Canis lupus familiaris: one gene and its partners. The protein of the gene in region 7 interacts with the protein of the main gene of each other region in a pairwise test. Links are inferred from orthologs where the notes say so. Each region holds a gene or a part of one and is shown on either strand. Other genes may lie near its edges. The genes, in order: TSFM, GPS2, CEP57, AMOTL2, GSE1, RAC1 and RALBP1.

Region 1 (4,023 bases), on a different chromosome or scaffold from region 7:
CAGGGCGACTTGCTGGACCAACTGTTGAAATTTTAAATTTCTGGAAACAAAATCTGTCTCACAGTTTACCTGGCGGGAACAAATTGATGTTGCTGTATAAGCTGCTTCTGGACAGTTTGCAAAAGTGCCTTAAAATCAGAGTAAACCGAGGTATTACAGAAGAAGCTTCAGACTCAACAAAACAGACATAAATGACCCTCGAATTTTAAGGCTGCAGTTCCTCTCCTAGCTTGAGGCCAGAAACTCAATGGGGTGATTCCTGCTGTGCCAATGAGTTAGCAACTGACCCCCATATTCAAAAGATGGTTCCCTAATGTCCCATGGAGCCATTACACCTTTACCACTTGCCCGTAGCTGTGGGCCATCACTACCTCGTTCTCCGGACTCCTCCAACACCAAACCACTTTTGCAGTCAGCCTGCTTATCTCCCTTTCTCACTCTATACTAACCCACATCTGATTCTTCAGCAATTGAGGCCCCTACACCTCCTCTAAAACAGCTACACACTATCCATCGACTAATTAATAGAATTCCTACCTTTAAAATCTAACTGTTCCAGGAAACAATCAGTGACGAGGTATAAGGCTGCAGGAGACTCCCACTGAGAAGTACAGGTTTGCCCCACTATCTGAACGTACGGTGTTCCTATGAAACCTTTTGTAAGCCAAAATGGCATAAAGTGAAAAATCAATTACCATTAACTTATATGGAAATGGATGTACAAAACAAATTGATGTACTAAATAAATCAACGGAAAGCACAGATGCTCACAAAGTTCAAAGCTATGGCGGCTTGATGCTGAGATGCGGAGAGTAGTTGGGGGGGGCAACTCCTGCTGCGAGGGTGCCCCCTGCCTCTACAATGAATCAGTGCAAAACCAACACTAACTGCTATTTTCACTTTTTGCCTTTTTTTTTCATAAAAGTGAAAAGTACTCTTTGGATTTAACAAAAAACAAAAACAGGCGTATGATTGTAGGTCTTTTGTAAAAGCAAAGTGCGTAACATGAACTTTTGAAACGTGGGGGTATCTGTAACATTTCTGACTTTCTAGGCCTTTAACAGCCAACACACCCAGCCACTCCTATACTTAAGTGAGCTCACAATAACCGTGGTCTCACCAGTTTTCTCCCAACAACCGTGTGCACTTCGCAAACACCTCTTCTTTAAGGCTACGAAGGGTCTAGCACACAGCTCTCCACCCAAAGGGCAGCTGATTTATCTGGAATCCTGACAGCTCACCTCTACCAACACGGTTGCGTTTCCATCCTGAAGCAGCCCAATCAGGCCTTCTTTAGTCTTCCTGCCGTGGAGTTTGGCAGCTCTGCTCCAGCCTTCCTTCTGGGCCTGCTTGTGCAGCCAGCTCTCTGCCTATAAATTGAAAACAGGGCAGATGACAAACTCACAGAATTTAGAACTGAATGGGGTTCTAAAATATGTTCAGGTTCCCTAATTCTGTTTCTCGTCAATCCTATAACGGAAACTAAAGCAGTCTATCGTTTACTGGCAGCCTACCACTGAACGCCAAATACCAGGCATTGTGCCTGATGCTTCGGATAAATTTAATCTTCACAACAACCCTATGGAGCAGACAGCAGTATTTTTTTTTTTATTATGTACAGACAAGAACAACGTGACTCTGAAAGATCAAAGTGTCCAAGATCACAGGGTTAGTGTGAGAGCACCACAGTGTGAGTCCTGGTGCGTGAGGCTCCCAAGGTTCACACAAGGCCTTGGGCTCCAAGCACCAGCAAACAGCAGAGCAGTGGTTTTTGGAAGAGTGTTACCCACGGGATCCTGGTCAACTGCTTCGGAGTCAAAGGGTGAGGTCGGCACTTACGTGTGCATCCTACCCCGAGGGGCGCCTGGGTGGCCGAGCCTTGGGCTCAGGCCTTGGGCTCAGGCCGGGATCCTGGGGTCTGTCAGCCATTGGGGCCAGCGGGGAGCCTGCCTCTCTCTCTGGGTCTCTCATGAATGAATAAATAAAAATCTTTAAAAATAGGGGCAGCCCGGGTGGCTCAGCAGTTTAGCGCCGGCTTCGGCCCAGGGCGCGACCCTGGAGACCCGGGACCGAGTCCCACGTCGGGCTCCCTGCGTGGAGCCTGCTTCTCCCTCTGCGTCTCTCCTGAATAGATAAAATCTTAAAAAAAAAAAAAAAAAAAAAAAGGATGCTGCCCAGGGTTCTGGGTTAGGGTCCCTGGGCAGCACGTCCCCGCCCCTGAGGTCGCCCCGGCCCCCGCCCCCCACCTGCTTGAGATCCCCGCCGCAGGCCTCCAGAGCCTTCTTGCAGTTTACAAAGGAGTAGCCTGTTCTTCGCCGCAGCTTCACGAGGGCGTCCTTGCTCGGGGCCGACGACCACAGCCATGGACCCGCGTGGAAGGGGCGCGGCCGAGGCGGCGGCGGGGGGGGCCCGGCCTGCGGGGGAGGAGGAAACGCCTGAGCCGCCGGCGCCGCGGGGAGCGGGATGGGGGGAGCCCCGGGGGGGGGGGAGAGGGGGACGGAGAGGGATGGGGCGGGAACGGGGGAGGGGGGGATGGGGGGAAGGCCGGGCGCCGCGGGAAGCCCGGGCGGGGCAGCGCGCAGGGAGGCCGCCCTAGGAGACCCGGGGCTCCCGGGGCGGGGGGGATGGGGAGGGAGGAGGGGACGGGGGCTGCGTCCCGAGCGCACCGGGAAGTCCCAGGACGAAGGCGCGGGGCCGGGGCCCAGGCCCCTCACCGAGCAGCCCCGCGCGGCCGCGAAGAGGCGCCAGGGCCGCAGGAGCGACATGTCCGCGGCCCGCGCGCGAGGACACCGGCTACGGCGCGGCGGCGGGGCCAGAGCTCCGGCGCCAGCGCCAGGCGCGGACGGCGCCACCTGCCGGCCGGGCGGGCACACGCACCGCCCCGCCGCCCGCCCCGCCCCGCCGCCACCGCCCCGCCCCGCCCCGCCCGCAGGTGAATAACGGAGGCCACGGGGCACGGGGGTCGCGAAATAACGCTCCGAGGCACGCGGACACACTTCACGTTCCTTTATTTCCAGTCCTGTTTCACAGTCGTCATCCATTTGGGACTCTCGGCGGCCCCGGCGGGTGGGCGGGTGGGTTCAGGAATGTGGCCAAAGGCCGCGGGGCAGGCAGGGGGGGGGGGGGGGGAGCCCTTTCACCAGACCCCGGGGCTAGTCGCTGACCAAGCAAAGTATGGGTGGCACGTCGACCCGCTGTAGGCCTCAGAGCACTAGGAAGGCGTGAGCCACACCCCTGCCCTTCCCGGTAGTCTAGGGGTGAGAAGTAGGGGACAGACCGGTACCATGCAAGCCGAGTAAGGCCCTAAGATGACCAGTGAAAGGGTCTCCAGGGAGAGAGAAATCACATCCAAACAGGAGGCTCAGGGATCCCTGGGTGGCGCAGCGGTTTGGCGCCTGCCTCTGGCCCAGGGCGCGATCCTGGAGACCCGGGATCGAATCCCACGTCTGGCTCCCGGTGCATGGAGCCTGCTTCTCCCTCTGCCTGTGTCTCTGCCTCTCTCTCTCTCTGTGACTATCATAAATAAAAAAAAAAAAAAAAAAAAAAAAAAACAGGAGGCTCCGTAAAAGCTTTCTTCAGGAAAGCGGCTAAGAGTAATAAAGATTTTGAGAGGTAGAAAGAGCTCTTCCAGGCAGGGAATCATCAAAAAGAATGAAGAAAACAGGGCAATTTGGGTGTGGAAATAGGGAACAAAGAGTAGACATTTGGAATTTGTCCAGAGGTTGCAATACATGTAGGAAACCAGTTGAAAATGAAATAGAAGGGTCATTTGGGATCACATGGGATAGACTGAGTACCAAGCCAAGGAGCTTTACTCTTGCAGTAGGCAACAGAAGCTGGTCAGAGCTGATTTTGGAAGATCAAAAGAGTTTGATAAATGGCTTAAAGGAGAGAGAATGGAGGCCAGGAGTCCAGAGGAAGAGATATGTGGCCCAAGGAGTAAAGAGAGCCCCAAGCCCTACAGTGGGAAGAGAAAAGAGGTGAAAGACAAAACACTAGTAAGGAAGGACCAACAGGGCCTGG
Region 2 (4,013 bases), on a different chromosome or scaffold from region 7:
CCACCCCGGGAGGAGCAGCCCCCTTCCGTCTTGCTGTCCCCCTCCCTCCAGTATGCTGGGGCCGAGACCCTAGCGTCCAAAGTGCAGTGAGTACATGGGGGCTGGGACTGGGGTCTCCATGGCTTCCCATTGGTGTCCCCGCTGTGACACTTGGGTCTTGTCTCACTCTAGCACATTTACTGTTGAAGGTGACTAGTACTGTGGAAATAAAAGTAGAGTGGGACGCAGTGGGTCCCAGGTGTGCTTTGCACAGGTACAGGCACACAGTAGTCAGGGTAGACATGGCGACGAAGGTTAGGTTTGGGCAGAGGCCTGCAGAGGGAAGCCAGGGAGCGCCCTGGAGAGACCCCAGCAAGCAGGGGTGCGGCCAGAGCCAAGCCACCTCTCTCTGGGAGGTGGGAGTGACCCCCCCCCTCCCCCCCCCCCCGCAGGCAGCCGAGGGAGGAGCCTGGAGGCCTCACGGCTGGCCTTCTTCTTGCCCTGCAGATTCCGGGATCCCAAGTCCCAGCGAACGCACCAGGCCCAGGTGGCGTTCCAGGTGTGCGTGCGCCCGGGCTCCTACACCCCCGGACCCCCTTCGGCCACCCTCCGAGAACCTCCCGACCCTCACTTCAGCCCCGCAGAACTCGAGTGGATAACCAAGGAGAAGGGGGCCACACTCCTCTATGCCCTGCTGGTGCGGGTGGAGTGAGGGCTGGCCTCTGGACGACAAGCACAGTGGGGCCCCCCCGGCCCTGGCTTAGCATCCCCTGCCGCGGCGGGTGCTCCCCGAGCCCCCGGAGCCCCCAGAGCCCGACGCATCTCTGGAGCAGGAACGCATCTCCGCGTGCAGGGCCCACGCCTCCCACTCGGGGCCGGCAGTCTCCCCTCATGCACTGACTCGGGGAACACGACTCCCTGGACTCCCTCCCCCGGATCACTTAATTTATTTCCGTTTTCGTTCCTGTTACTGTGAATCCCGAGGAGCCTCCCCGGGCCGCCGGGCGGAGTGGGGGCGGGCGCGGGGAAGGTGGGCCTCTGTACAGTTGTTACGGACGCGGGTTTCCAAGGAGCCAATAAACGCTGTCCCAGAGCGCGCGCCTCGGCCTCTTTCTCATTCATCCCCCTCTCGCACCGCCCCCCGACGAGCCCCAGGGCTGCCCAGCTGGGGGCGCCCGGCGCGCCGACGGAGTTTGGCCCCCCGCGGCACCCGTCGCAGCCGCTTCCGCCCTTCCCTGCGCCCGTCCCGCGAGGCCGCCGGCCGCCCCGGCTCCGGAAGGACTCGGCCCGGCAGCCGGATGTGACGCGCGGCCGAGGCGCACAGGAGCCGCGGAGAAAGCGCAGCGAAGGCGGGTAGGGAGGGGCGGGCGGCGCCGAGGCCGGAGACCCCAGCCCGCCGGCGCACGCGGAGCACAGGGGCACCCGGAGCACCCGGGACCGGCCGGGCGGCGGAGGGTGGGCGCCGGGCACGTGACCGGGGCGGCGGCGGCAGGCGGGCTTCCGCCTCGGCCCGCGGGCGCGACCCTCCTAAGCGCCCGCTTCTCGGCAGGCCCGGCCCAAGGTCTGGCAGTCCGTGACAGAGCCGGGCGCCCACGGCCCGAGCGTCCCCCGTGGCACCATGCCCGCGCTCCTGGAGCGCCCCAAGCTTTCCAACGCCATGGCCCGGGCGTTGCACCGGCACATCATGATGGAGCGGGAGCGCAAGCGGCAGGGTGAGCCCGGCCGAGGGGGAGGACCCCCAAGCCCCGCACCATGGGCACAGCGCCGCGCCGCGGCCGCGCGGGAGGAGGGTGGGACGGCCCGCCACTGGTGGAGGGAGCTGCAGGCCGGGTCCGGGCTCCAGAAGACTCGGGCCGGGAAGGACCTTGGAGAGCACCTGACATACCCTCCCTCCCAGTCCCCTGGGAGGAGAGGAGCAGAGGGAGCACTGGCACCGGCAGGTTTCCCCGCTTCTCCATCTCTAACGTCCTAGTGTTTTAACCACCCTGCGTTCTTCCCATTGCACCTGGTTCTTTCTCCAGAGGAAGAAGAGGTAGACAAGATGATGGAACAGAAGATGAAGGAAGAGCAAGAGAGGAGGAAGAAAAAGGAGATGGAGGAGAGAATGTCACTAGAGGAGACCAAGGAACAAGTAAGCAGCCCCCTGCTCTGTCCCAGCTTTTTCCTCCTTTGGCTCTCCTGCCGTCAGCTCCTCTCCCCTGCCTTCTCAGATCCTGAAGTTGCAGGAGAAGCTGTTGGCCCTTCAGGAAGAGAAGCACCAGCTCTTCCTGCAGCTCAAGAAAGTTTTACATGAAGAAGAGAAACGGAGGCGAAAGGAGCAGAGGTGGGATTGGAGAGCTAAAAATAAAATTGAGACAGTAACTGGGATGGGTAACACCAGATGGGTGTCTGATGGCAAAAGAGGGGGCACTTGTCTTCATTCTTGGTTTTGACCTGCCTGCCTTTCACTGCAGTGACCTGACCACTTTGACTTCAGCTGCGTACCAGCAGAGCCTGACCGTCCACACTGGGACTCACCTCCTCAGCATGCAGGGTGAGGAATGAAGAACCCGCTTGTTAGAATGCACCCTCCCGGGGGTTGCAGCCACCCCACTGCAGCCTCATGAAGCCCGTCTCCCTGTCTAGGGAGCCCTGGAGGACACAACCGCCCAGGCACCCTCATGGCGGCTGACAGGGCCAAACAGATGTTCGGACCCCAAGTGCTTACAGTAAGGAGTAGCATTGGGTGTGTAGCCCGCCATTTCCATGCAGACACGGGCACCCGCATTAAACAAGTATTCAAGTCACCAATGTTGTCCAGCACTTGACCAAATGGTGGAAAATTGGGCACATACAAGGCGCTTGGGGTTCTGCTTTGGAGGAGTTTCCAGCAGCAGCCAGCGCTCCTCTTCCTTCCTCAGACGCGACACTATGTGGGCTCTGCAGCTGCCTTCCCCGGGACCCCGGAGCATGGCCAGTTCCAAGGCAGCCCCGGCAGTGCCTATGGGACCGCGCAGCCCCCGCCTCACTACGGACCCACGCAGCCGGCCTATAGCCCCAGTCAGCAGCTCAGAGGTGAGCCGTGGGTTGGGAGGGGGGCGCTTCCTCCAAGACCCAGAGGCCGCTGGTCCCAGGCAGGCCCGAAGGAGGCTCGACAGGCTGTGCCTCCTGCCTCCCTCAGCACCTTCGGCGTTCCCAGCAGTGCAGTACCTGTCGCAGCCGCAGCCACAGCCCTACACGGTGCACGGCCACTTTCAGCCCACCCAGACAGGTGAGGATGCCCCCGCCAGGGCCCCAGGGCTGAGCGTCCTCCCCGCCTCCGCGTTCCACACACCCATCCTTCCCTTTGTAGGCTTCCTCCAGCCTGGCGGTGCCCTGTCCTTACAGAAGCAGATGGAGCACGCTAACCAGCAGACCAGCTTCTCAGACTCTGTGAGTACAGAGCCTGGGCAGGGCAGGGGCAGTGCTGGGCCCAGGGGTGCCCCAGGCCGCCTCGGACCCTGACTCTCTTCTCCGTAGTCCTCCCTGCGCCCCATGCACCCACAGGCTCTGCATCCAGCCCCTGGGCTCCTCGCCTCTCCTCAGCTCCCGGTGCAGATGCAGCCAGCAGGAAAGGTAAGGCCAGGGGTCGGACCCGGCTGGGGCCCTACCCTTCCAGGGGGAAAACCAGATTGTGTAGGAGAGGCGGCGCCCACCCCTCCTCTCCCATTTCCTCCTGGGGTGGGGATGGCTGGGAGTTCGGGTGTAGATTGAGGGGCAGGGTACACACCAACGAAGTCCCCCCACTTCTGCCACCAGTCGGGCTTCGCAGCCACCAGCCAGCCTGGCCCTCGTCTCCCCTTCATCCAGCACAGCCAGAATCCACGATTCTACCACAAGTGATCATCAGATTTTATCTTCAGCCTCAGCCACAGCCCCTGACGTGGGTGAGGGAACTTGGTGTCCCAGTCTAATAAAATTTACCTGCCTCTGCCCCTCTGCTGCTGTGTGCATCACCTCCCTCCCGGGCTGGGCCAGGGCTGTGTGGAGGGTGAGGAGTGACAGGCAACTAACAG
Region 3 (4,160 bases), on a different chromosome or scaffold from region 7:
GCTCACAGACAGCATCCCGGCTTTAATGGGATGGGAGGAGCTCCAAATCATAGAGCATTCTGTCCCCAAACCAGTCGCTTCGCTTTCCTGGACAGGGAAGGAGGATGCCATCAGCTTTGCGGCTTCAGGTTCCTAGCAAGAAAGTGCAAAAACCGTCCCCTGCCTCCCGGTGGAAGGAGAGGACAGTCCAGGCAGAAAACCGAGATGAAAACATCTCCACCCCAGGGTCTCTGCGGCATAGACAGGTGGCTGCCGCCTCATTCAGCCCCACCCGGAGACCCCTGAGTGTCGGTAGGGCCCGGCCCCCTCCTGGGCCGCCTGGAAGAGGGCAGAATTCTGTCTTCCTCTCAGGGGCCTTTCCCATCCGATGCCCACGTCCCCAGATAAAGGGTCCCGGGAGAGGAGGCCAGAAAGAGCTCCAAGCCCTCAGGGCGCCGGCGACGGGAGCCGGGCTGCAGTGCCGCGGCCACCGCGCTCCCTCGGGCTGGCCGAGGGGACCCCGCCCGCCCGCCCGCCCGCCGCCCCGCGCCCACGGACCTTGCAGAGCTGCTGGCCCTGGGAGAGCTCCTCGAAGGGATAGCGCTGGGTGCACTTGGTGCAGGCGTACAGGGCCGAGGCCGCCATCCTGCTCAGTCTCCTCCTCCACCGCCGCCCGCACCGAGGCGGGGCCCTACGGGGAACTCGGCCGCCGCCGCCGCCGCCGCCCGGGCCGCGAGCTCCTCCTCCTCCCCCTCCCCTGCCTCGCGCCCACCAGAGCCGCACCACGAGAGCCCAGGGCCCTGCGGTCTACACCGTCTCCCTCCGCCTCCACTTCCGCCCCCGGCCCTCTCAGGGACGCCGTCCCAGCCGCTCCCGCTTCGGCGCCTGGAGCGGCGGAGGGAGACCAAGAGGATAGCTCGGTGCGGGGTAGCTGCGCGGCGGTGGATCCGCTTCCTTCTCGGCCTTCCTTCCCCGGCTCTGATTGGCTGGGAGGGCTGCTGCGTCACTCGGTCGCCCCTCCCAGCCCCTAACCGCGGCGACGCTGGAAGCGCCCACAAAGGGAGGAAGCTGCTGGCCAATGGGGGCCGGGAGCTCTCAGCGCGCCAAGGCCGCTTCAAACCCGCCCCGCCCACCGGCCCAGGAGCGCCTGGAGCTAGCGGCCAGTCCCGGCTGTGCTGCGGTCGCCCCGCTCCAGCCGGGCGCGTGTTCGCCAAGGCTTGCTCCGTGCCCACGCTGCTTCCCCCTTGACTTACTTCTGTTGGGCCGAACCACTAAGGCCCCTTGCGACACTACTTGTTACTGGTCAGAAGCTAAGTACTTCACCTAGAGAGGCGTCCGGGTCGAGCTCACGCCCGCCGGCATTTAGTCCCAGGGGGCCGATGGCGTGTTTGGACTTCACACTCGCTTTTATTGTTTCAGTCATTCTATTCAACGGTCCGTGGCGCCCGTCACCTCCTCGGCCCGGCCCGCCCCTCCTGCGGAGTTCCCTCGGGGCCGCCCGGGAGCCGGCGGCGTGAGCGCCGCCGTAGACTCAGCGAAGCGCTACCTTGTGACGTCGGCGACGGAAGAGGCGGACTCTCTGCTGCTACCGGAAGCCGTCCGCTTTTTTGATTGGCTGCTCCAGACGTCCGTTAGGGCGTGTTGCCTTTTCCGCGTGCAGCCCCTGAGCGTGGGCGGCCCAGTGGGGGTGTGTGCAGGGGTTTCCAGGCCCCGCAGCAACACCCCAGCCCCTTCCATCAGGGGTTGGCTTAGGGTCGCCCCTGGCGGGCGGCTCTCGAATCTTAAGGAAGAGCTCGAAAACTCAGACCCCCTTGGGGCCGCGGAGGCCCTCTGGGCTGGCAGGAAGATGGCGGCAGCATCGGTGTCTGCGACTTCAGGGTCTCAGTTCTCGGTAAGAAGCGGCTGACGTTCGAGTAGGCTCGGTTTTGGCGCCTCCTTGCTTTTCCTCACCTTTCAGCGCGCTCTGGGCCCGGGGTCTCACCGCGTCCGGGGCACGGCCGGGGGTGCCTGACGGGGCGCCGTGCTCCCCTGACGCCCGCCGCCCCTCGGCCGGGGCTGCACCCCCCCCCCCCCCCCAGCCGAGGCAGGCCTGGTCGGTTCCGTCCCTTGCTCCCCTCACCTTCCGTTCTGGCTGCCCAGGTGGCCAAACTTTGCCAGGACTCTCTGGGAAGGCTCCTCCCGCCGGGCCTGGCGGAAACCTTGCGGCTTTGGTCACGTGGGGGGAACGGCACCTCCTGGAAACTCGCCGAGACCAGGTAGCTCACGACGCGGCTTCGTCGGCGGCTGTTGAACAGTCGTCGGTCTCCACCGCTTGCTAGTTGCGGCCTGTGCCGATTCCGTTGCCTGCAGCGCCTCCCCCCGCGTATTCCCGTGACTGTGCCTGCGGGTCACCCGGAGCGCGCGCTTCCACCTGCGCTGTTACTTGGCCGGCACCGCGTACGCGCTGGCGCTGTTGCAGAGGGGCCGCGGGGGAGCTGATCCTACGTAGTGTTCTGCCTCCCTATTATCTGTCGAACCGGATTGCCGGTGCTTCGAATTTGAGAATCCGCCGCGCCGGGAATAGGCAGAAAATGGGAGGCAGCTCAGGCGAGAGCCATTGTGTCTTCCCTTAGCTGCAGCGGAGTGCTTGGGGCTGTAAGGTCACCCAGGTGAATGGGTTGGAATCCCCGCGCCGAAGGAGCAGACACAGAAGAGAAACTGCATGTGCATTAGACTGTTACACAGCTCAGTTTGATAGATGCTGCCATGCAGGTATAACCTAAGCGTGAGTGGTCGGTGCTTGGGTTGGCTGGAAACAGTTTCCTAGTAGGGAAGATGGAGCTCGCTAGCGGAGTGGGGAAGGAATCGTCAGTCGGTGCTAGTCCAGAGAACTGGAAAGGAGGAAAAGGCACCCGCGGGCACTTCAGTTAGGTGCCAGGACAATGGGAGCTTCCGGGAAACTAAGTAATGTGGAGCGTACAGAGGTCGTGGGGCGGGAGAGTTGGGTTAGATGAATTGAATTGTGGAGGTAGGTAAAAATTGGGGGGAAAAGAGGGATACGGACGAAAACAGGAAACTATCAGGATGAGAGTTATGTCATAGACGCTTAAGGGGGAGAAGTTTAGGGAGCGTTGAGAGCAAAGTTACCTCAGTTTTCCTCAGTTGCAGCTTTTGTGACTTAAGGTTTATGATAATAAGGCCAAAAGCAACTCCGTTTCTGCGGAAGGGGAGTACCGAATTTGCAGAGCAGTCAGGGAAGATTAAGAATGAATGAAGCACTTAGAGTTCTTTCAGGAATTAGGTCAGTGAAAGGGAATGTAAAAAGAGGAACTATTAGGAGGAAGTGTCCCTAAGTAGATGGATGGGATTATATAAGAGTTGTGATTAAATTTAATTGTGAGAAGAAGGCTTTTCACTGCTTTCAAAACTTAGCACTTGGAGACTGAGTAAGAAATACTCCTAAAACTGTTAATTGAGCTGTATGTACTCTCTTGAGTCTGTGTAGCTGAGCTGCGGTACTGGGATGTGCTGTCAACCCCTTAGTTCTTAAGGTAGCCTGGGCATAAATTTCATAGTGTTTAATAGGAAAGCATATATATATGCTTTTATTTATTGGATTCTAAATATCAGGAGTACACTTTTTTTTTTTTTAAAGATTTTATTTATTCATGAGAGATATAGAGAGAAAGGTAGAGACACAGGCAGAGGGAGAAGCAGGCTCCATGCAGGCAGCCCTACGTGGGTCTCGATCCCGATCCCGGGACTCCAGGATAACACCCTGGGCCAAAGGTGGCGCTAAACCACTGAGCCACCTTGGCTTCCCCAGGAATACACTTTTCAAGTACCTTTTGGAAATCTAAAGTGTAACAACCTTCTTAATTTGACTTGCTACATCAAAATGTCTCATTTGGAAGTCACTGTTTCAAAACAAATGACTGAATGTACTTTATTATTAGTGTATAAGAAACAGCCCTGCTTAGACACCTTAACTGTCCTGTCAGAAATAAGGCTGGTGTTTCCAACAAAATGTAAAAAGCATTTTGGCTTAATGAACAGTTGATTATAAGATAAGAGAACACAAAAATACCTTTTAAAATTATAGCATAAATTCAGAGGCTACTCATATTCAGATTTTAGGGTTGTATAAACACTTCATGTGAAAAAAAGAAATAATATGTATTTAACACTCATAAACCCAGCTT
Region 4 (4,123 bases), on a different chromosome or scaffold from region 7:
AAGTAAGTAAGTAAAACTGGATGGAACTGGAGGGTGTTTTGCTGAGTGAAATAAGTCAACCCGAGGACAATCATCATGTGGTTTCACTCATGTGTGGAATATAAGAAATGGTGAAAGGGACCATAAGGGAAGGGAGGCGGGAAACTGAGTGGGGAAAAGTTAGAGAGGGAGACCATGAGGGACTCCTAACTCTGGGAACCAAAGGGTTGCAGAGAGGGAGGTGGGTGAGGAGGCTCGGGTAACTGGATGATGGGCACTAAGGAGGGCATGGGATGAGCACTGAGTGCTATACTATATGTTGGTAAATTGAATTGAATTGAAATTTAAAAAGAGAAAAGAAAAAACTGAGCAGCCATCGGTTACTTGGCTTCATCACTTCTGCTCCGCGTGACCCTGGGGCAAGCTAATTAACCTCCCTGGGCCTTGGTTTCCTCATTTAAACTCAGGGATGATAACAGAATTCCCTGGGAGGATGACTTGGGAGGACTGCCTGGGATGACGAGGCGAGGAGCGGGTGGTGGCACACCGTGCACCCTGCGTAAATTCGGGGATGCCCATTACTACCTTTTTCCAGAAATGTTGGACAGAGCGCCTGCCCGCGGGTGATTCAAGTAGTTCGGTGGCTCCAATTAACCGGAAGATTCTCAACCCAGATTCACACTTCCTGTGGAGACAGGCCCTAAAAGAGCTGGCAAAGGTGTTTGTAAACAATAACAGGGCAATTCAAGGGTGGCCGCTGGCGGTGAGAGCAGTGGGGGTTCGGAGACTCGAGCCGGACCGAGGTAGAGTCCAAGCAAGCCGGGCGGGTGTGGACATCTTGACAGTCCTCCTCCCCTTGCACACACACACACACACACACACACACACACACACACACGGGGCCCCTCTCCCTGCAGCAAAGCCCAGAACCCCTTGGGGACCCGCGACTGCCCATCTCCGGGTGTCGTTTCGCGGATGGGCTGAAGGAGTGGGTGCAAGGTGGAGGTGGGGACGGGTCGGGGGGGGGGGTGGCAATGGCCGAGGGCATGAATCCGTCCCCAGCAGCCCCGGGGGCCCACGGCGGTGGCGTGGGGAGGCCGCGGAGGGAGGCGCCGCGCGTCCCGGGGACCGAGCTCCGGGACCGAGCTCCGGGGCGCGCGGCACCGCCTCCCGGGAGGAAGGCGGGGGCCGGGAGGAGGGCGGGGAGGAGGCGGAGGGCGGCGGAGGGCGGAGGAGGGCGGCGCGCTGCGAGGTTATTTGTGGTTCGCTTTGATCCCGAGGGGGAACCTGAAACTCTCACATTCCTGGCATAGCAGCCGCCTCCGGCGCGGGCCGAGCCTGGAGCTGCGCGCCGGGGCCCGGGCGGCCAGAGCGTCGGCGCCGCCGCCGAGTGCACACCGCCACCGCCGCCGCCACCGAGCCGGGCGAGCCGCGCCGGGCCGACCACGCCGAGCACCCGCGGGCCGCAGCGGTAAGGACGGCCGCCCGGCGCCTCGGGGAGCGCGGCCCGGGAGCCACGGTGCAGCCGGAGCCCCCGCGCAGCCCGCCCTTCCCGGGAGCGGGAGCGGGAGCGGGAGCCGGAGCCCGGCGCGGCGCGGCGAGCGACCCCGGGTGCGGGGCGCCCTTGCGAGGAAGCGCAGAGGCGGCCCGGGGCCGTCCCGAGCTCTGGGCGGCCCGCGGGCCCCCTGGGGCGGGGGGAGGGGGCAGCCTTTGCGGGGAGCGGGGGCTTATGCTTCGGGTCGTGGGCTGGGCAGAGGGGCGCCGCTGCGGGTTCAAGGTGCGGGCCCTGGGGCCGATCCGGTTGGGGGCAGATCACAGGTGTCCTTGCCCCCAACCCGTCCAAGAATTCCTCTTTGTCTTCCTTGGAAAATCCTCTCTGGAGCCTCGGAACGGCTCTCACTTAGAAAGAATGCGGCCGGCCGGCCAGCCCGGTGACGTCAGCGCTGGAGCATTCGGAAAACAAAGAGGGCTCGGGAGGCCGGGAGGGAGGCGGACCCGCGACGCTTAAAGACCTTGCTGGGCCACCGGCCCCCGCCCCCCCCCCCCCCCCCCGCGCGCTCCGGGTGCTCGCGGTCGGCCGGGAGCCCGGGCAGGGCGGCATCCCTGCTGCGGTGCACGCCTCCTTAGAGACCCTCGCGTGGGTTCCGTAGGCGAGGCCGAGCCCCGGCGCGAGCCGGAGTGGTTTGCTTACCGGGGAGGGGGCGCTGGTTTTCAGGAAGCCGGGGTGCGCCGGTGCAGCGAAGGTGCATGGCCGGGTCGCGGTCACAGATTTTAGTAACGGCTCAGCCGAAAGAATGTGCATCTGAGGGGTCTGACGGGGACAAACGCGGCACAGGGGCCCCGGAGGTGCTCCCGGCTCCCAGGCTCACGGCTGCGGGGGGGACACGAGGAGCCCGTCCCGAAAGCTCTGCACGCCACCCCCCCCCCCTTCTCCCCACCCTGCTCCCCACCGTCATTCTCGGCTGGAGAGTCAGCCCAGACTGATTACTTTAGGAAATGCCCCGCGGAGGAAACTCTAGGGCGAATTGATTGCAGTTTGTTTTGCCTCTGGTAACTCTGGAGTCTTGCATCTCCACGCCTCCGGGGTGTAGGGAGAGGGGGCGGCCGATTGGGTGCCAAGAAGGATGGGCACAGAGATGCCTTCCAGACTCCTCTCCCTCTCCTCATTTCTGGGCAGCCTGGAGGGAGGAGTAGATTGGCACTGGCTGCTCTGCCAACCTACCAAACCTTAAAGGCAGCAGGGCAATGGGGCTAGTTTTGTGGCCGAGAAGGGACCACATTCTTCCCACTGACCTCCCCCCATACATAAGACCTGTGGGGATAGGGGTTTTGTTTGGTTTTCCCTGAATCTAGTTAGGAGTTTTGTGTGGGAGGAGGCTGTGGAAGGAAGCTGGGTGAGGCAGGCAGCCTCGGGACATGAGCCACTGAGAGCCCAAGCTCAGAGGGCAATACCTTCCTCAGGAGATACTCCCTGCTCTTGAAGCTTCCAGCAGCCCACCCCCGCCCCAGACTCCGGTCCCTGCAACCAAGAGCTTCTCCCTCGCTCCCCTACTCCTCCAGTTAGCTCAGATAAGTGTTACCGATGGCAAAATGCTGAGTGCCCACCCTCTATGTGGCAGAGGGCCATCGGGGTCTTTTCCAAGTAGCAAGTGTACGTGTGTAGGAGGGACAGTCCTAAAGTCAAAGACACGGTGCCGCCCTTTGTTTTTCCTGGAGCACCCATGCAGTTGCTGTCAGCACACAGACTATGACTGACCCACAAACCTTGACGGGTGGCATCTTTTTCACCTCATTTCACAAAACCATCGTCCTGTTGTAGCTTCTCCTTTGATCCCTTATTATTTGCCAAACCCGATGCATTTTTGTCCTTCCTGTTCACCTTGCAGAGTGACCGTCAAGGTCATCCCGTGACAGAGAGGGCCCAGCATGGTAAAGGTGGTAGAGGGTGGTGAGTTACCCGTGCCAAGCCTAGGGCTCAGGCATGCTACATTCTAGAGGGAGCTAGGGGCTGTCTGCCTAGGGCTTCTACTAGGCTGGACTCCTTCTTTATCACCTGCCAATGAACTGGGGCCCTGTCTACCCCTAGACTGGCCTGCTCAGTGGTTGTAGCTGAACTACTCCTGCCCTGGAGTCTCTCCTCAGCCTTTTCACTGGGAAGCTGACTGCAGAGGCTGGGTGATGGATTACCTTGGAGGTTACTGGTGGCTTTCTTTAGTAAGTCTCCGTGAATATGACTGTAACGGTGGCCCTCTGCCAAGGATTTACAGTGCACCAGCACTCAGCAGCCATCGCCTTATTTAATTTTCACCTCCATGAGGCAAGCGTTATTCCGATGGAATAACTGAGGCTCACGGGTTAGGTCATTTGCCTTAATCAGTAGGTGGCAGCACTGGCAATTGAACCCAGGCTTGTGTGACCTCCCCCCCCCCCGCCCCCATAGCCTTACTCTTCACCATTATGCTTTGGACCACACTGTAACGGAAAGCACCCCCTGCCCTCTTTCCCCTGTGCTCCCACTAATTGCTCTTCTTTCCCTCCTCCCAGGTGCCCTGGGGCCAGGTGCCACCGGCCATTGTCCAGGCAGCTGTGTACAAGGCAAGGAAGCATGAGGACGCTAGAAGACTCCTCCGGGACGGTCCTGCAC
Region 5 (3,500 bases), on a different chromosome or scaffold from region 7:
GGACCGGGGGGCAGCAGTGCCAGCCCTCCTCCCACTCCTGATTCCTGCTGTGGGCTCAGGGAGCAAGTTCATTGGCTTCTGTGTTGCTACCTGACAACCTCTGCTGGGGAGACAGACTTGGGGCCCCTGCCGGTCCTGCTACAGTGCAAATTGTCCCAAAAAGCCAAATCAAAGCTCTCTGGAAGAATAGTTCCACAGACACGCATGATTAATAAATAATGAACAGAGGCTAATAAGACGATTTTAAATATTAATAGCGCAGCATAACAGAGGAGGAGGCTGTCGAGAGAACAGGCCTGGGCCCAGTGGGGGCTCCTCAGGGGTTGCCATCCTCGGTGGGGGTAGGGCAGGGACAGATCTGGCCCCCTTCCCTCCCTGCTCCTGCAGTGGGAAGGGCGCTGGTGGGGGCGGGACTGTCAGCCAGCAGGTCCAAGGTACCCTTGGCTGTCTCCTACTTGCACACCCTGTCTGACCAGGAGGGGTCAGAGGTTGCTCCAGACCAGTTTTTTTTTTGTTTTTTTTTTTGTTTTTTTCCTGCTAGAAACGAGTCCTATTGAAATCAGTCTCTTAGCCAGAAGCTGGGACCAGGGCCAGGTCTTCCCAGGGTTCTTGCTCTAGGCTAGATTTAAGGCCCCAAAAGTATTTTTCTCCGCCACTTGTCTTGTGAGGGAGAATGAGGGAGTGCCCCATCCAGTGCCCTCGGTGCAGGGGTGCTGCTGCTTTCTACGTGAGTTTCTGTGCACATTCTCTGCCTTAGGTGGGGACCTGAGTATGCCTGGCCCCTCCTGGGTAGTGGACCCAGATGGCCACAGCAGGAGGGGAGTGGATGTGCACACACAGCCTTGGGTTGCCATGGACACGGCCCCAGGCCTGTGGGATGAATGATTCCCTGCAGAGAGATCATGTCCGTTCAGGCCACCTCAGCCTCATCACTTGGGGTCCAAAGGAAGCCTGGCATCTGCCTCCTGCCGTCTCCACCCTCACCCCTCACCAGCCATCCCTATAAAGTGCTAAAATCCTAGGACTAGGGGTTAATGCATGTTTCCACCTGGGATAAAAGGAATCTGGGGTTTTGGGGTGGTCAGGGAGGCCTGCAGGTCTTGGTCTGATGCGTGCTTCTGTACGTGTCACAGAGGGGCCCCCTGTGTGCATCCACTGTAGGATGAGGCTCCTTGCCCAGCCCAACAGTCCTTTCTTGTCCCCAGGATACTACTACGACCTGGACGACTCTTACGATGAGAGTGACGAGGAGGAGGTCAGGGCCCACCTCCGCTGCGTGGCCGAGCAGCCGCCCCTCAAGCTGGACACGTCCTCCGAGGTATCTGGAATCTCGTCCCCGTGTGACAGGTTGTGGGTGGGGCCTCTGGTGCCCCCATCACTTTCTGCTTCTTGGCTTCCCTCCCACTGTCCCGGGCAGCCCCTCATTTGCTAGGAACCCCTGCACCCCTCCATTCCCATTGACTGCAGGTTGTCTGGAAGCGCCGTCAGGGTCTTCCGCGTCTGTGGCCCAGTGTGGAGTTGGCCACAGCTCATGGGCTGCATGGACCCCAGGAGGGAGCCCCTGGGACAGTGGAAGCATGCCACTGCCAGTGGTTTCAAACTCATTTGTTTTCTTTCCCAATCTAGAAGCTAGAGTTTTTGCAACTTTTTGGCTTGACCACCCAACAGCAGAAGGAGGAGTTGCTGACCCAGAAGCGGAGGAAGCGGCGGCGGATGCTGAGGGAGCGAAGCCCGTCACCCCCGACGATTCAGAACAAGCGGCAGACGCCTTCACCGAGACTGGCACTGTCCACCCGCTACAGTCCTGATGAGATGAACAACAGCCCAAACTTCGAAGAGAAGAAGAAGTTCCTGACCATCTTCAACCTGACTCACATCAGTGCCGAGAAGAGGAAAGGTACAGCCTAGTGTGGGCCTCGTGGGGTCGGGTCACTCTGCGGCCACAAGCTTCTGGAGAAGCAGGGGCCGTGGGCTCCTGGGAATGTTCCATGCCCACACTCCTGGTAGGATCTAAAACCACTTCATCCTGGGGCTCTTTCTATTCCCTCTGGCCCCCAAGGAGGCAGCTACTTTGCTTGCACGGGCCTACCCCAGTATCGCTCCAGCATCGACTTTCTCTCCATCCAAAATGCAAATTCCCCTCCTTGGAGGGCATATCTCTTGTCACATCCTGTGCAGGACTGAAGGCTTGGTGCCATGTGTTCTGTGTGTAAAGCCTGCTTTTGACGGCTGCTCTTGTCACTTGTCAGACCTCCCAGTGCTTCAGGCAGCAAGTGGGGCGACTCCTGGGCGCAGGGTCGCAGTGCACCATCCTGCAGGTAGTGGCTGTTTACTCTTGGCAGGTGCTGCCGTGGCCCACAGAGCTTTGCGTTCTGACAGCAGGAGGCTCGGGGTGGCCTGTGGTGGCCAGGCAGAGCCAGCATATGCTGTGAATGGGACAGCTTGCCCTGGAAGGTGCTTCCAGGTCCATCTGGCCACCAAGGGCCATGTTGGGGCCACCTTTTCAGGCTGGAGTCCATAGCACAGGAGGGGTGGTGCGGTCTGAGCACATTCTCGCCTCCCCTTCCTTGGTCTGGCCCATACCTCACTTAGTGCCAGGAAGTGAGTTCAGGTGAGAACTCCACCTGTCTCGATGCTCATTTCCATGCTTCTAAGTCCAACTTGCTGATACCTAGGTTGTCACTTCTCTGGAAGGAAGTCAGAAGGAAAGCAGAAGTGTTACTGGTCACATACTTGCTTCCACTTACTTCATTAGTGGGGTGTAGCCGTGTGCTTTTCGCCTTTAACCTTAAACTGGAACCTGCGCATTCTCTTAAAGAGGCAGTGACTCATTGATCACTGGCACCTGTCCCTGGGAACAGCCATAATCTTGTTTGTAACAAGCATCTTTTTGCCTGACTTAATTCCTAGAGGAAGCCACCAGTGATGCAGGCACTTCGGTGTCAGTTGGTAACAAGTGCCACCACAACAGGAACTCACAGTGGTGGGCGTCACGGGGGTCTGGTTCCGTTTCAGTAGATGGCAGCCTTGCTGGGACTTGTGCACGTGTGCCAAGAGCTGTAGGGGAGAGGAATGTGCCTGGAAGCAGCCCATGCTCCCAGAGGTGCTGTGTGGATCTTCACGGTTGTTCCTTTTGTTGGGAGCTTTTGTGTGCCTGAGTCTTTTAAATAAGAATAGTGTCGGAAGTCACCTCTGAAGATCACGGGAACCCATTATTTTGATGTATGCACACAGCTATTTTTGGAATGCATCTAGAATGCTCTGTAGCAAAAGCTGAGCAGAATCTGAGCTAACCCTAAAATGAAAGTTTCTTCCTTTAAACACAGCCTGTTCCCCTTGGTCCTTGCTTTGCTCTTCTTGATTTAAAGGACTTGCACCTGCCAGTGACGGCTTGGGCTAGAAGCCTGCTCCCCTTCCCTCTCAGCAGTGATGCAACTGTGTTGTTAATCTCAGGCTGCTTTTCTCATAGACAAAGAGAAACTTGTTGAAATGCTCCATGC
Region 6 (4,267 bases), on a different chromosome or scaffold from region 7:
TTTAACAATTTTTGAATAAAAGAACATTCCAAGTATATCATCAGGTATGTTTTGTTTGGGTCAAAGCAAAAAAATATTTTTGGTTTGGAAAGTCATGTATGTAACTTTTTCACTGAAGTAATGTTTGCTGTATGTTGTCCCTTATTTAAAGTAATAGAGGGGGCAACTGGCTGGCTCAGTTGGAGGAACGTGCAACTCTTGGATCTCAAGGTCCTGAGGTTGAGTCCCACATTGAGTGTAGAGATTACTTAAATAAATGAATAAATCTTTAAAAAATAAATAAACAGAGCTTGAATTGTTTACTTCTAACAGGGCTTTGCCCCAGTCTACATCAATGTCAAATACAGTACCAAATAAATCGAATGAAAACTTAAAGCCAAGAATTGTTTTATGCTTTGGACCTCCCACACAGGGCCCAACAGTGCCTCAGATTAAGAGAAAGAGCAACACTATATGAGGCTGGCTGCCTGCACTTTCTCACCTGGGGCCAGGCACCTGGGAGGCACTTAGTATTCAGCATCTTGTTTATTTTTTTTTTTAAGATTTATGTATTTATTCATTCATGAGACAGACTGAGAAAGAGAGGCAGAGACACAAGGAGAGGGAGAAGCAGGCTCTCTGCAGGGAGCCTGATCCCCGATCCCAGGATCTCGACCAGAGCTGGAGCCGGGCAGGCACCACTGAAACACCCAGGCGTCCCCCAGCAACTTGTTTAATCCTCGCCACTTCAACTTGAGGTCCCTGTCCTGGGAGAGGAGTGTGAATATGCCCAGGTTCCTCCCTAATCATTGGGAGTGGGGATTCGAAGTAAGGATCCAGATCCCACAACAGGCATTCAACAAGTATGTGACTAGATACACAAGGCAATACAAATCTTCGGGGTCCATCATCTGTAAGCATTAAGTAGGTCTGCTGTGCTTATGTTTAGTTTCAGAAATTTTCAATTAAGAATATTACATTCTAGGGCACCTGGGTGGCTCTGTCAGGTAAGTGTCTGCCTTCCTCTCAGGTCGTGATCCCAGGGTCCTGGGTTCAAGTGGCGCATCCGGCTCCCTGCTTGGCATGGAGCCTGCCTCTCTCTTTCCCTCTCCCTCTGCCACTCCCCCTGCTTGTGCTCTCTCTGTCAAATAAATAAAAATCTTAAAAAAAAAAAAAAAGAATATTACATTCTAAAGTTAGATACTGAATTATCAGCAATTTAAAAAAAACAGCATTATTTCATACTCTAAGCATTACAGATTCAGCATTTTTAAATTTTTAAAGGAAATGCAGTTAAAGTGTTCATAAGACAATGTGATATATGTGTAGTTAACTCATTACACAAAAGGATCAAATTTCATTTAAACCAATGTACTGATTTCCCTATTAAACTAATTAACTGAAGTTTTTGGACCCCAAATGAAAGAAAAGCTTTCTTTTCAAGGGTTTAAAAAACAAAAACAAAAAACATACATATTCCTAAATAGGTGAGAGTCATAATTTTTAGCTATATGCACAGAACCATGAAGTGTTAATAACGTTTCACACGTTGAAGACTGACAAATCACACAGATGGGCATCTTTTAAAAAATTAGTTCAACTGTCCTTACATCTGAAATAGTTGTAGCAACAGTTTCAAAATGTCTAATTTACAACAATCTAAATGAGCTAATTCACAACTTGGGAGGCATAAAAGCCACATCAGTCCTAATGACAAGTTTGGGGAATATTAATCAAAAGGAAGAGCGATGCCAGAACTCTTCCTTCGATTTTACAAGACTTGAAAAATGTACCAATTACACTGAGTTTGATGAAACTGATAGTAATTCTTGGATCTTCGCTGTTAACACTCAACTAACTCGAGCACTGCTGAGATACACAATTTTGCTCGGATTACACTGAGATTTTTGTTTCTATGGGAGGGGAAAAAAAAACTGCATAAGCCAAGTCTTGTCTTCCTCTAGGGCCTTGTAACCACCACAGACAGTAATGAAAAGAAATGCCTTGAGTCACAGGGCAGCTCCGCTCAGGGAGCCTGTTCTGCTACATCCCATACCTAATGCAAGCAGCGAAAGCAAATTTCTTTCTTTCTCTCTTCCTTTTTTTTTTATGACCACACCACATTCAGAGAAAAGATCAGTCTTAATCACACCTAGCTTCTCGTAGCTAGAATCCCAAAAGTTTCTCCAAGGAAAGTACAAGAATTATCACCAAAGGGAGGGAAAAATCTTAAAAGCGGCTAAGTACAAGCGGAAGATACGGGAAATCAGTTTGGGGTCGCCAAACCAGCCCAGGCAAATACTCAAGAACTATCGACCTGGTCGCCGGGACACACGGAAGCTTATAACCGGGCTCCAGAGGCTGATGTAAAAACCCAGAAAGGGTCCTTCCCCGCCCCCCCTTAGAGAAAGAAAGGCAACTCCAAGCCCACCGCTGTAGGGGCGGACGAGCGCGGGTGGCGGCGCGGCTGGGGGGTCCCGCCCCGCGCGCAGCGGGCCCAGAAGGCGGGAGGGTGGAGTTCACTTTTCCCTCCGGCCGCCGCTCGGCGACTCCCTCCCCCATCAGAAAAAAAAGAAAAAAGAAAAAAGGCAAAGAAAAAAAAAAAAAAGAGCCGGAACCAGGCCCCGTGCCTCCCAGTCCCGGAGGGAGTGAGTGGTGGCCCGCGCCCCGCGGAGAGGCCGGCTCCGGGCCCGCGAGAGCCCGCCCGGCCCGGCCCCCAGGCCCCACCCTCGGCCTCGGCCCCCGGCCCCCGGCCCCCGGCCCCCGGCCCCGGCCCGCGCACTCACCCGTCTCCCACCACCACACACTTGATGGCCTGCATCTGGGCCGCTCGCTGGGCCGCGGCGGCGGCGGGCGGGCGCTGACGCGAGAAGCGGCGGGCTCGGGGCGCCGCGGGCGGGCGCGCGGCTGCAGGCGGCAGGGCGCGGGGTGCCGGGGCCGCTGTCCACGCCGCCTCGCCTTCCGCCGACGGAAAGCCGGAGCCCAGCCGCGGCCACCACCCAAAGCTGGGGGAAAACTGCGGAGAAACAGGAAATGGCCGCTCCACTCACATCCGGTCTCCCCTCCCCCGCGCCGGCGCGCCGCTCCCAGGCTCCGGGGCGGGGCCGCTCCTGCCCGCGCGGCTCCCGGGCTTCCTGCCGGGTTCGGGGACGTTCGGGAGCGCTCGGACGCGCTCGGCTGGGGCCCGCTCGGCTCCAGAGGGTGGTAAGAGATGGGGGCGCGGGGGCGGGGGCGGGGGCGGGGGCGGGCCGGCCGCCATGTTTGTGCCACCTGGCGAAGGGCATGAGTCTAGACTTCTGTGAGAACTCTGAGGGGAGGACGAGATTCTGCCAGAAAATTCAGAACCTAAATTTCTAAGGAAGCAAATGCCACACGCTCTACCATTTTCCAAAGATAACTTCTGCTCATTGAGCCAAAAATGTTGAAATTTCTTCCCTTATGTGTGCGTTGTCCGTTTCCGGTGCGTTGAGCGTTTACTAGTTCCACGCCTTATACCAAGTTCTGGAGTTGATGTTACCAGACCATTAAAGTGCCAATATTTTGGTATTTTTTCCTCTGAGTTGTTTTTTGTTTTTAAGTAGGTCCCGTGTCCACTCTGGGGCCTAGACTCATAACCCTGAGGTCAGGAGTCACATGCTCCGCCAACTGAGCCAGCCAGGTGCCCCTCTTGGCTAGTTCTTTATGTGTGTAAAGATATGTTTTAAAGAAGGTTGGAGGGATCCCTGGGTGGCGCAGTGGTTTGGCGCCTGCCTTTGGCCCAGGGCGCGATCCTGGAGACCCGGGATCGAATCCCACGTCGGGCTCCCGGTGCATGGAGCCTGCTTCTCCCTCTGCCTGTGTCTCTGCCTCTCTCTTTCTCTCTCTCTATCATAAATATTTAAAAAAATAAAGTTGGAAAAATACCTAACCCTTAGGACATTTTTAACGGCCAATTACTGTTCACTCCCATTGTGCTCGTGGCCCTCACCCAATGTCTCTGTTATTGAGCGGCTGAGTTGTCCCTGTTTGAGAAACCATGCTGGGCTGGGCGTGTTTGTGACAAAAAATTCACAACTTGATTTCTTTAGACTATACGCCCCAAACTGGAGTTACTGGGGTAGCAGGAGTGAGCGTTTTTTAAAGCTTTGGTATTTATTGTTGCATTGCCCTCCTGCAAGGTAGTAACGGGTTCACGGTCCCATCGGCTCTGAGAATAGACTCTCCAGGGGAGTTGATTTCCAATGACATTTCCATCTCCTAGGCCTTCTTTTCCTGAAATTCACTCTGTTGCTCAGTACTGTAACAGTGT
Region 7 (3,500 bases):
GAGGGGTCATGAAGAAAAATATTTTTGATTTGTAAATGCAAGAGTACTCACTATGTTTTGTGTGTGGGGAGGTGCTTTTGTATTTTGACTGGTGTTGATGACCTTTTTTTCCTATGTGCAGGTGTAATGGATAGGTAACAGAGAAACCCTCTTCACTGTCTCATCAGGGAGGCAGAATGACTGAGTGCTTCCTGCCCCCCACCAGCAGCCCCAGTGAACACCGCAGGGTGGAGCATGGCAGTGGTCTTACCCGAACCCCCAGCTCTGAGGAGATCAGCCCTACTAAGTTTCCTGGATTGTACCGCACCGGCGAGCCCTCGCCTCCCCATGACAGCCTCCATGAACCTCCTGACATAGTATCTGATGATGAGAAAGACCATGGGAAGAAAAAAGGAAAATTTAAGAAAAAAGAAAAAAGGAGTAAGTGCCATTTTTATATGTGCTTTTGATATATTTCAGATAAACTTTTACTCAAATTACATGCACCTGCTATTTTCTGAGACAATGTTCAAAGACTCTTGTTTGACATTGTCTGTTCTTTTCTGGATCTCAATTTTTGTTTAGTAGAGCTGTATTTTAGGGTCTTACTCTTGCAAATAAAAATACCAAATTTCCAGAAATGGTAAAGTTTTATGATGAAAGTTTCTTATATTGATTATTTTAAATAATGCATAAAAAGTAGATACTGGAGTTTCACCCTTATATAGAATATTACTTTCTTGGCTAGGTTGTGTAAGCCAGTTGCAGTACTATACTTTATTGGAACTGTAAAAAAAAAAAAGTAGTTATTTGTTTGTCTTAAGCAAATGCTATAATGCATTCTATTTATAGTTCCTATTCAGTAGGAAAGATGAATTTTTTTAAATTAAATTTAATTTATTTTATTTATATATTTTTTATTTTTTAATTTGGAAAGATGAATTTTTTAAGCATAGCACCTTAGTATGTTAAAAGCAGATCAGGTGAGTTATTTTAAGTATTGCTTTATTTGGAGTTTTATGGTATTTTTAAGTTAATTTGTTTTTTGAAGCATAGCACTAAGAATGCACAAATTGTATATAACTTGAATGAGTTATTACAAAAAGGGTGTATGTCCTTAAATTATAAGCCTCTGGGAATAGAGCATTATCAGCAGCTTAGAAATTCCTTTCCATTATCCCTTCAAAGGGAATCTTCCACCCTTCCCAAAGGTAAACTGCTTTCAATATAGCTTGAAACTCCCTGATTTTGAATTTATCTAACTGATACCAGATTTCCTTTTGCATCTAGTTTCTTTTGCCCAAAGTTGTATTCATTAGATTCATCCATGTTATTCTATGTGGCAGTAATGTGTTCATTTTTATTGCTGGATTTTGTTTCATTTCATTAATATACTAGAATTTTTTGCTATTCTTGGTCTTTTGGGTTGTTTTTCATTTTTGACTGTTATGAATAGGGCTTCTGTGAGTGTCATTGTAGGTGTTTATACATATTTCTGTTGTGTATATGCCTGGATGTGGAATTGCTGTATTATAGGCCATACTCATCTTAGCATTAGTCTCATAGATCCTGCAAAAACAATTTTCCAGAGTGGTTTACACTCACACCAGCAGTGTCTGAGAACCGCATTTGTTTTAGATCATGGTATAATGCCCTTAAGGTTTCTGCCCTTCTGGTTAGTGTGGAGTTTGTGGTATTTTAAATGGAAGGTAATTTGTGAAATATTTTTAATCTTTGTTATGAAATAGCTTGCAAGGTAGCTGGCTAAAGAAAAGAATAGGAGAATTATATTTTGAGATAACAGAAGCAAGCTAGGATAGCTCTAATATGATATAAAACAAGTGTCGGTATGTGTACACCAAGGCTCATGATGCATAAGTGGGCCGGTGCATTTGGCCACCATCCAGAGATTCGGAAATTTCCTGGTTCTGTCTTCCACCCAAATGAAGCTTCAGTCCCTGCTGCAGTTTCCAGAAAGAACGCTCTATATTATAGGACTCTTACTTAGCCCTCTCTCTGTAGATCCTTTGTTGTGTATTCATAGTATTTGGTTTGCCAAACTTCCACCTAAAACCAGTTGTGATGGTAACTGGCACTCTGCATTTCCCCTCTTGTGGCCAGGAGATGTCACTGCCACATCTCATTTTACCTGAGAAGAAACCTGTTCCTTTACTGGGAGTACCCAGGAGGGATTGACCATGAAGTGAAAATGAAAAGCAAGGTAGCCAGTGCCAGGTAGCGCTGTTTTTTTGGTCCTGTTTTTAGAGAGTTTAGGCATGGTTTGACATTTAACAGATCTATGACTTCTGTTTCCTGTGTTTCTTTGGCAGCTGAAGGCTATGCTGCCTTTCAGGAAGACAGCTCTGGAGATGAAGCTGAAAGTCCTTCCAAAATGAAGAGGTCCAAGGGAATTCATGTTTTCAAGAAGCCCAGCTTTTCTAAAAAGAAAGAGAAGGATTTTAAAATTAAAGAGAAACCCAAAGAGGAAAAACATAAAGAAGAAAAGCACAAAGAAGAGAAACATAAAGAGAAGAAGTCAAAAGACTTGACAGCAGCTGATGTTGTTAAACAGTGGAAGGAGAAGAAGAAAAAGAAGAAGCCAATCCAGGAGCCAGAGGTGCCTCAGATTGATGTTCCGAACCTCAAACCCATCTTTGGAGTCCCTTTGACTGATGCAGCTGAGAGGACCATGCTGTACGATGGCATTCGGCTGCCAGCGGTTTTCCGTGAGTGTGTAGATTACGTGGAGAAGTATGGCATGAAGTGTGAAGGCATCTACAGAGTTTCAGGTATTGAGGACATGTGCTTCTCTTGGGGGTTTTAAGAAATTCACCTTCATTTTTTAAAGAAAGGAAAATGATTAGCTTGTGAGGAAAATTGTAGCATGGGTCCTGAGCCTTATTCATTTCCTTGATCCTTGCAGTTGAACAAAAATCCCTCACTGCACGCGTGCGTGCGTGTGTGTATGTGTTTGTGTGTGTTTTGATAGTTTGCTTTTTTCTGATGATACTACCTTCCATTAGGAGGCTTTATGCATGAGTCTTTCATAGTTTGCAGCCGCCCGGCTGAGTATAAGCAAAGCATAGGAGTAGTGTTCCTTCGCTCTGGTGTGCTCAGACTGTGCTGTATTCTTCTCACCTCTTTCCTCTCTGAGCAGAGCTCTGTGTTGTGAAGGAGAGGAGATATCTGGGTAAAGGACGCTTCAGAGACACTTTTATTAGCATAATCGTATTTCCTGAGTTAAGCTGAGGGACATGAAATGTTCTTTGTTAAATGTTTAGGCCCAAATGTGAATGCTTTTGTCAGCCATGTGCAGCTATTACATAGATTAATGAAATTGATTTTCCATTTATTTATGTTCCCTTTGTGTGAAAATTTAAATTTCATATTTGGCAAGAATATCTCATGTGGGTGTCTAGAATCAAGCAAAATGTAAAAGGAAAAAGATTTTATTTCTTGCAAAGTAGTAGGACTTTTTTATTGTGTAGTATGGAAGTCTTGCCCTGTGCAACATCTGTGTT

What was found.
Region 1: the proteins of RALBP1 (region 7) and TSFM interact in binary tests that used the Homo sapiens proteins (3 or more experiments, as listed by UniProt). The two-hybrid records come from large-scale screens. The link is inferred for Canis lupus familiaris from reciprocal best matches to the Homo sapiens genes RALBP1 and TSFM.
Region 2: the proteins of RALBP1 (region 7) and GPS2 interact in binary tests that used the Homo sapiens proteins (3 or more experiments, as listed by UniProt). The two-hybrid records come from large-scale screens. The link is inferred for Canis lupus familiaris from reciprocal best matches to the Homo sapiens genes RALBP1 and GPS2.
Region 3: the proteins of RALBP1 (region 7) and CEP57 interact in binary tests that used the Homo sapiens proteins (3 or more experiments, as listed by UniProt). The two-hybrid records come from large-scale screens. The link is inferred for Canis lupus familiaris from reciprocal best matches to the Homo sapiens genes RALBP1 and CEP57.
Region 4: the proteins of RALBP1 (region 7) and AMOTL2 interact in binary tests that used the Homo sapiens proteins (3 or more experiments, as listed by UniProt). The two-hybrid records come from large-scale screens. The link is inferred for Canis lupus familiaris from reciprocal best matches to the Homo sapiens genes RALBP1 and AMOTL2.
Region 5: the proteins of RALBP1 (region 7) and GSE1 interact in binary tests that used the Homo sapiens proteins (3 or more experiments, as listed by UniProt). The link is inferred for Canis lupus familiaris from reciprocal best matches to the Homo sapiens genes RALBP1 and GSE1.
Region 6: the proteins of RALBP1 (region 7) and RAC1 interact in a two-hybrid assay, tested with the Homo sapiens proteins (2 studies listed by BioGRID, with this or other methods). The link is inferred for Canis lupus familiaris from reciprocal best matches to the Homo sapiens genes RALBP1 and RAC1.

Annotation. Positions count from the first base shown.
Region 1 is NC_049231.1:2,195,935-2,199,957, reverse strand, and holds the start of TSFM (elongation factor Ts, mitochondrial), read right to left. Parts: upstream 2,801-4,023; 5' UTR 2,766-2,800; coding exon 2,667-2,765; intron 2,415-2,666; coding exon 2,247-2,414; intron 1,371-2,246; coding exon 1,242-1,370; intron 70-1,241; coding exon 1-69. UniProt on the Homo sapiens protein: Associates with the EF-Tu.GDP complex and induces the exchange of GDP to GTP. It remains bound to the aminoacyl-tRNA.EF-Tu.GTP complex up to the GTP hydrolysis stage on the ribosome.
Region 2 is NC_049226.1:32,479,419-32,483,431, reverse strand, and holds GPS2 (G protein pathway suppressor 2), read left to right. Parts: upstream 1-1,213; 5' UTR 1,214-1,332; intron 1,333-1,528; 5' UTR 1,529-1,597; coding exon 1,598-1,691; intron 1,692-2,000; coding exon 2,001-2,110; intron 2,111-2,189; coding exon 2,190-2,302; intron 2,303-2,432; coding exon 2,433-2,512; intron 2,513-2,604; coding exon 2,605-2,687; intron 2,688-2,879; coding exon 2,880-3,033; intron 3,034-3,139; coding exon 3,140-3,229; intron 3,230-3,310; coding exon 3,311-3,390; intron 3,391-3,477; coding exon 3,478-3,573; intron 3,574-3,756; coding exon 3,757-3,840; 3' UTR 3,841-3,932; downstream 3,933-4,013. Other genes in the region: NEURL4 (neuralized-like protein 4), read left to right, coding at 1-86, 487-691. UniProt on the Homo sapiens protein: Key regulator of inflammation, lipid metabolism and mitochondrion homeostasis that acts by inhibiting the activity of the ubiquitin-conjugating enzyme UBE2N/Ubc13, thereby inhibiting 'Lys-63'-linked ubiquitination.
Region 3 is NC_049242.1:5,436,877-5,441,036, reverse strand, and holds the start of CEP57 (centrosomal protein of 57 kDa), read left to right. Parts: upstream 1-1,360; 5' UTR 1,361-1,825; coding exon 1,826-1,870; exon of another isoform or gene 1,871-2,035; intron 2,036-2,098; exon of another isoform or gene 2,099-2,443; intron 2,444-2,537; exon of another isoform or gene 2,538-2,724; coding exon of another isoform or gene 2,725-2,730; intron 2,731-4,160. Other genes in the region: protein FAM76B, read right to left, coding at 7-132, 538-624. UniProt on the Homo sapiens protein: Centrosomal protein which may be required for microtubule attachment to centrosomes. May act by forming ring-like structures around microtubules. Mediates nuclear translocation and mitogenic activity of the internalized growth factor FGF2, but that of FGF1.
Region 4 is NC_049244.1:31,681,486-31,685,608, reverse strand, and holds the start of AMOTL2 (angiomotin-like protein 2), read left to right. Parts: upstream 1-1,323; 5' UTR 1,324-1,450; intron 1,451-4,023; 5' UTR 4,024-4,084; coding exon 4,085-4,123. UniProt on the Homo sapiens protein: Regulates the translocation of phosphorylated SRC to peripheral cell-matrix adhesion sites. Required for proper architecture of actin filaments.
Region 5 is NC_049226.1:67,508,070-67,511,569, reverse strand, and holds part of GSE1 (genetic suppressor element 1), read left to right. Parts: intron 1-230; exon of another isoform or gene 231-1,205; coding exon 1,206-1,318; exon of another isoform or gene 1,319-1,626; coding exon 1,627-1,897; exon of another isoform or gene 1,898-3,469; coding exon 3,470-3,500.
Region 6 is NC_049227.1:11,815,608-11,819,874, reverse strand, and holds the start of RAC1 (ras-related C3 botulinum toxin substrate 1 precursor), read right to left. Parts: upstream 2,801-4,267; coding exon 2,766-2,800; intron 1-2,765. UniProt on the Homo sapiens protein: Plasma membrane-associated small GTPase which cycles between active GTP-bound and inactive GDP-bound states.
Region 7 is NC_049228.1:75,572,877-75,576,376, forward strand, and holds part of RALBP1 (ralA-binding protein 1), read left to right. Parts: intron 1-121; 5' UTR 122-176; coding exon 177-420; intron 421-2,309; coding exon 2,310-2,768; intron 2,769-3,500. UniProt on the Homo sapiens protein: Multifunctional protein that functions as a downstream effector of RALA and RALB. As a GTPase-activating protein/GAP can inactivate CDC42 and RAC1 by stimulating their GTPase activity.